2 linked regions of the Callithrix jacchus genome follow. The protein of the gene in region 1 purifies or fractionates together with the protein of each later gene. This does not show direct contact. Links are inferred from orthologs where the notes say so. Each region holds a gene or a part of one and is shown in the gene's direction. Other genes may lie near its edges.

Region 1 (3,653 bases):
GCACCACCATACCCCATCCTGGGTGACAGAGCAAGATTCGTCTCAGAAACAAAGGGAAGCAAACTGGATCTGCGCCGTGGTTGACGCTGTCGCCGAGGGACTCATGTTGGTGCTGCTTGCAGCTGCGCTCCGAGCCGCAGGGCCTGCAGTCACAGAGGTGTGAGGCTGACAGAGCCGTCGTGTAAACTGGAAGTGTGCTCTGCGGAGCCATTCTCAGCGGCTGGGGCCTGGTTTTGGTGCGGGCTGGCTGGCACCGGGGCCCTGTCAGGCCCATTGGGGACTGTTTCAACACGCTGCTTCCCCCGCTATGGACTGAGAGCTACGGACCCACCCTGGGACATGAGGGTTTGGTGGGTGGATGGCCCGCGGCCGTCCTCGAGGTTTGCTTGGGTGGTTACAAGGAGACTTAGCTGTCTGTCCTGCAGCCGTCTCACACGAGTGGATAGAAATGATCAGTTTCCTAACGTTTAAATGACAGCTTTTCAAAGACAACGTTGATTTTTTTTTTTTTTTGTCCCAGAGTAACCCAGACTCACCAAGTTGTACTTACAAATGCTGAAAGTACAACCTCCGCTGGAGTTGGTTTTTAAACCCTGAACTTCATCTTTTCAAATGTCAGGCACGTGTGTGAGCATCTCGGAGTCCCATGTGGTGAGACCTGACGTGAGCCACCGCGTCTCCTAGGCCAGCCCGACCTGCAGTGGGTGGAACTCAGCCAAGCACTGAGCTCCCCAGTGGGTCAGTCAGAGCCAAACGCAGAGGCTGACCTTTCATTCCCATAAACAGTCAGTTGGGGCATTATAACAATGAGCAAGAATGAGACTGACCGAGGATGAGGGCACAGTGGGGGGTGGGGTGGGGGCCAAGGAGCTGCAGCGCTATCTGTGCCCGCAGGCACGCTGCCCCTAGCCTCGCAGGAGTCAGCCGTGGTGGAGGACCTGCTGTATGTGCTGGTGGGCGTGGACGGGAGGCATGTTACTGCTCAGCCCCTGGCCGGGAGGCAGAGCCGGACCTTCCTTGTGGACCCCAACCTGGACCTGTCCATCAGGGAGCTGGTGAACAGGATCCTGCCGGTGGCTGCCAGCTACTCCACTGTGACCAGGTGGGCACCGGGCGCAGTCCCTGCGGGCTTACACTGCCGTGAGGGAGGGGTCAGGGCCCATCCTGATGTCCACGGAGACATCTGCAACCCTTCTAAAGAGAGCCCCCACCTTGGGGACAACTCCGTGACCGGCTCAGCTTTGGAGGGTCCTGACTCATCTCCTCGTAGGGGCAAAAGTTCCCCTCTGGGGTGTGGGATTTGAGTGAGTCATTTACTTCCTGTGTAGGGATGAGACTCAGAATATCTGACCTTTTATCTGGATGTAGATTGCCTTTTTGCAGAAGTTGACAGCTCTTCTCATAGGTTCATCGAAGAGAAGTCTTCCTTTGAGTATGGGCAGGTGAACCACGCCCTGGCAGCCGCCATGCGCACCCTGGTCAAGGAGCACCTGATTCTGGTGTCACAGCTGGAGCAGCTGCACAGGCAGGGCCTCCTGTCGCTGCAGAAGCTCTGGTTCTACATCCAGCCGGCCATGCGCACCATGGACATCCTCGCCTCCCTTGGTGCGTGCCCGCTGGGGAGAGTGGGGCAGTGGGTGGCAGGTGTCACAATGCAGCACCCAGCGTGTTGTGGAGCCGCCGCCCAGGCGAGGAGCCTGCAGCCAAAGCCCATGTGGCTCCGTGTGTTGTTATTTGCGAGAGGAAAGCCCTGGGGGCTCTCACTGGTCAGCTTTCATCAGCAGCTACAACCTTGCAGATTGTATACATCCCACACACGCAGCACCGTCCCAGTGAGAAGGCAGGAGAAGTGCAGGAGGCCCCAGCAGGGTCGTTGGCAGTCTGAGCGTGTGCTTCCCTCTCAGCAGTAAGCTCCCTCCTCCCCGCAGCCACCTCAGTGGACAAAGGCGAGTGTCTTGGGGGATCCACGCTGAGCCTGCTTCACGATAGGAGCTTCAGCTACACTGGGGACAGCCAGGCGCAGGAGCTGTGCCTGTACCTGACCAAGGCGGCCAGTGCTCCCTACTTCGAGGTTCTGGAGAAGTGGATCTACAGGGGCATCATCCATGACCCGTACAGGTAGGGCTCCCGGGGACATGGGGGGCACATTCTGCCCTCTCCCATATGGGTAGGGCTACTGGGGACATGGTGGGGTATGTGCTGCCCTCTCCCACACGGGTAGGGCTCCCGGGGACATGGGGGGCGCATTCTGCCCTCTCCCATATGGGTAGGGACATGGGGGACACAGAGGGGTGTGTGCTGCCCTCTCCCATACGGGTAGGGACATGGGGGACACAGAGGGGTGTGTGCTGCCCTCTCCCATACGGGTAGGGACATGTGGGACACAGAGGGGTGTGTGCTGCCCTCTCTCATACGGGTAGGGACATGGGGGACACAGAGGGGTGTGTGCTGCCCTCTCCCATACGGGTAGGGACATGGGGGACACAGAGGGGTGTGTGCTGCCCTCTCCCATACGGGTAGGGACATGGGGGACACAGAGGGGTGTGTGCTGCCCTCTCCCATACGGGTAGGGACATGGGGGACACAGAGGGGTGTGTGCTGCCCTCTCCCATACGGGTAGGGACATGGGGGACACAGAGGGGTGTGTGCTGCCCTCTCCCATACGGGTAGGGACATGGGGGACACAGAGGGGTGTGTGCTGCCCTCTCCCATACGGGTAGGGACATGGGGGACACAGAGGGGTGTGTGCTGCCCTCTCCCATACGGGTAGGGACATGGGGGACACAGAGGGGTGTGTGCTGCCCTCTCCCATACGGGTAGGGACATGGGGGACACAGAGGGGTGTGTGCTGCCCTCTCCCATATGGGTAGGGCTCCCAGGGACACAGAGAGGTGTGTGCTGTCCTCTCCCATATGGGTAGGGACATGGGGGACACAGAGGGGTGTGTGCTGCCCTCTCCCATATGAGTAGGGCTCCCAGGGACACAGAGAGGTGTGTGCTGCCCTCTCACATACGGGTAGGGACATGGGGGACACAGAGGGGTGTGTGCTGCCCTCTCCCATATGGGTAGGGCTCCCAGGGACACAGAGAGGTGTGTGCTGCCCTCTCACATATGGGTAGGGACATGGGGGACACAGAGAGGTGTGTGCTGCCCTCTCCCATACGGGTAGGGACATGGGGAACACAGAGAGGTGTGTGCTGCCCTCTCCCATACGGGTAGGGACATGGGGGACACAGAGGTGTGTGTGCTGCCCTCTCCCATATGGGTAGGGACATGGAGGACACAGAGGGGTGTGTGCTGCCCTCTCCCATATGGGTAGGGCTCTCCTGGGGACACAGAGGATACGTGCTGCCCTCTCCTGTATAGTTAGGGCTCCTGAGGACATGGGGGACATGGAGGGTGTGTGCTGCTGTCTCTGGGGTCAGAGCCTTGCTTTGCTTGTGGTCTCCGGAAAGCACACACTGGGCAGACGTGCACCTGCTGCCCACGCGGCCAGGGCAGCTGCTTAGGGCCTTCCTCTTTGTGTGCAAGACGTGAAATGCCTTCGTTAGGCCCTTCAGCCAGTTCGGTGCAAGGACCTCCTGAACTGGTGGGGTCTGTCGGCTTCTCTACAGCGATATATGTTTAAATTCATAAAAACATGTTTGTTTGC
Region 2 (3,093 bases), on another chromosome or scaffold:
CCTCAGGGCTGGAAGGGGTGGGCCTCGGGGCTGGAAGGGGTGGGGCCTCGGGGCTGGAAGGGGTGGGCCTCGGGGCTGAAAGGGATGGGGCTCGGGGCTGGAAGGGGTGGGGCCTCAGGGCTGGAAGGGGTGGGGCCTCAGGGCTGGAAGGGGTGGGCCTCGAGGCTGGAAGGGGTGGGCCTTGGGGGGCTGAAAGGGGTAGAGCTCGGGGCTGGAAGTGGTGAGACCCTGGGCTGGAAGGGGTGGGGCTCGGGGCTGGAAGGGGTGGGCCTCGGGGGCTGCAATGGGTGGGCCTCGGGGGGGGGCTGAAAGGGGTAGAGCTCGGGGCTGGAAGGGGTGGGACCTCGAGGCTGAAAGGGGTGGGGCTCGGGGCTGGAATGGGTGGGACCTCAGGGCTGGAAGGGGTGGGGTTTCAGGACCCAGGGATCCGAAACTGCAGGTCTCTCCTGTTCCTCATCTTCCCAGGAGCCTTCCAGAGTGGATGAGGCAGACACAAATCCCCACTTTTAGATGAAGACGCTGACCCCAGAGAGTGGCAGCGCCCCGGGTCCTAACACAGCTTGCTTCCCTCCCTCCCGTTCTTAGAAACCAGGAGCACCCACACCCTGGACCTCTCTGGAGAGCTCTCAGAGGCCCTTGGTCAGATCTTTGACAGCCAGCAGGGCTGCGATCTGTCCATCAACGTGAGCGTGCAGGGTGAGGACGCCCTGGGCTTCTGTGGCCACACAGTCATCCTGACTGCCAACCTGGAGGCCCAGGCCCTGTGGGAGGAGCCGGGCAGCAATGTCACCATGCATGTGGATGCTGAGTGCGTGCCCATGGTCAGAGACTTTCTCAGGTGAGCTGTCTTGTCCTCAGGCTCTGGGGCCGCCAGGGGCTTTGTCCTCCTCCCCTCTTCAAAAGCACACCCACACGCACATGCACACCTGCACACACTCATGTGTGCACATGTATACACGCAGTCACACATGCACTCACACAGTTGCACTCACGCATACTTGCTCCCACGCTGTACACACTCTGGTGTGCCGCAGATGGCTGTGCTGGAGAGGCGGGCTCAGGGCTCCCCTGCTGTCCTGTGAGGCCGGCATCAGCTCTCCCTCACCCTTCCCAGGTACTTCTACTCACGAAGGATCGACATCACCCTGTCATCGGTTAAGTGCTTCCACAAGCTGGCCTCTGCCTATGGGGCCAAGCAGCTGCAGGGCTACAGCGGAAGCCTCTTTGCCATCCTCCTCCCCCGGGACCCCTCATTCCAGATGCCCCTGGACCTGTATGCCTACGCAGTGGCCACTGGGGACCCCCTGCTGGAGAAGCTCTGCCTTCAGTTCCTGGCCTGGAACTTCGAGGCCCTGACACAGGCTGAGGCCTGGCCCAGTGTCCCCACAGACCTGCTCCAATTGCTGCTGCTCAGGAGCGACCTGGCTGTGCCCAGCGAGCTGGCCCTGCTGAAGGCCGTGGACACTTGGAGCTGGGAGGAGCATGCCTCCCACGAGGAGCTGGAGGGCTTGGTGGAGAAGGTCCGCTTCCCCATGATGCTCCCTCAGGAGCTCTTTGAGCTGCAGTTCAACCTGTCCCTGTACTGGAGCCACGAGGCCCTGTTCCAGAAGAAGAGTCTGCAGGCCCTGGAGTTCCACACCGTGCCCTTCCAGTTGCTGGCCCGGTACAAAGGCCTGAACCTCACTGAGGATGCCTACAAGCCCCGGATTTACACCTCGCCCACCTGGAGTGCCTCTGTGACGGACAGTCGCTGGAGTGCACGGAAGTCACAGCTGGTCTATCGGCCCACAGTGGGTTCTTCACTCAAATACTCTGCTAATGCCATCCAAGCCCCCTTCGACTACAGATACTACTACCCCTACCAGTCCTTCCAGACCCCACAACACCCCAGCTTCCTCTTCCAGGACAAGTGGGTGTCCTGGTCCCTGGTCTACCTCCCCACCATCCAGAGCTGCTGGAACTATGGCTTCTCATGCTCCTCGGACGAGCTGCCTGTCCTGGGCCTCACCAAGTCGGGCCCCTCAGATAGTACCATCGCTTACGAAAACAAAGCCCTCATGCTCTGCGAAGGGCTCTTCGTGGCAGACGTCACTGATTTCGAGGGTCGGAAGGCCGAGATTCCCAGCGCCCTGGACACCAACAGCTCCAAGGGCACCTCTTTCTTCCCCTGCCCAGCAGGGCACTTCAGCAGCTTCCGCACAGTCATCCGCCCCTTCTACCTGACCAACTCCTCGGGCGTGGACTAGATGGCGTGGGTCAGGGGCCGGCAGGAGCAAGGGTGGTAAGAACCCAAGAAGCCCAGGATGCCCTCGCTGCAGGCTTCTCTCTTGGCTCCCTTCCTCTCGGCAACAACCTTCAACAACCGGCCACCAGATGTCCCCCTACTCCCCCGAGAGCTCAGCTTGTAGAAATTACTGGGAAGCTTCCACAAGTGTGCACCAGGAGTTCTCCCACCAGCCCACCAGTTTCCAGGTTGGGAAGCACCAAGACGCCCTCGAGGTCGAGGTTGCTCTGGGATTCCCACCCCACCCCCCCACTCAGTTTGCCTTTGTCACTGCTCTGAGATCATTACAGTTACACTGTGGTTGCTACATCTGTTTGTACAGAAAGTGTTACTGGGTCTATACCGTGTTGGGACATCGGGTGTTCCAGGCTCTGGGGGGCAGGGAATGAGGGAGAGTCCCTGTCCTCATGAAGCTGCGGGCTAGTGGGGGAGACAGGGAGCAGGAAGCACATCCCAGCCTGGAGCAGTGACACAGTGTGACACAAGCAGAGGGTGCGTGCCTCTGAGTGTGTGCACGTGGGTGTGTGATTGTGGGTGCATAGATGTGTGGGTTGTTTTTTTTTTTGAGATGGAGTCTCTGTCACCCAGGCTGGAGCACACTGGTGCACCCTCAGCTCACTGCAACCTCCACCTCCTGGGTTCAGGTGATTCTCCAGCCTCAGCCTCCTGAGTAGCTGGGATTACAGGTGCCCGCCATCATGCCTAGCTAATTTTTGTGTTTTTATAGAGACAGGGTTTCACCTTATTGGCCAGACTGGTCTCAAACTCCTGACCTCAGGTGATCTGCCCACCTCAGCCTCCCAAAGTGC

Evidence for each region. Proteins that work in one complex are often made in the same cells at the same time.
Region 2: the proteins of TUBGCP2 (region 1) and LGALS3BP purify together in Homo sapiens (affinity purification with mass spectrometry; 3 studies listed by BioGRID and IntAct, counting the BioPlex papers as one, with this or other methods). This does not show direct contact. The link is inferred for Callithrix jacchus from reciprocal best matches to the Homo sapiens genes TUBGCP2 and LGALS3BP.

What each region holds. Positions count from the first base shown.
Region 1 is NC_133513.1:126,624,786-126,628,438, reverse strand, and holds part of TUBGCP2 (gamma-tubulin complex component 2), read left to right. Parts: intron 1-894; coding exon 895-1,102; intron 1,103-1,405; coding exon 1,406-1,605; intron 1,606-1,928; coding exon 1,929-2,118; intron 2,119-3,653. UniProt on the Homo sapiens protein: Component of the gamma-tubulin ring complex (gTuRC) which mediates microtubule nucleation.
Region 2 is NC_133506.1:134,719,415-134,722,507, reverse strand, and holds the end of LGALS3BP (galectin-3-binding protein), read left to right. Parts: intron 1-585; coding exon 586-838; intron 839-1,114; coding exon 1,115-2,246; 3' UTR 2,247-2,591; downstream 2,592-3,093.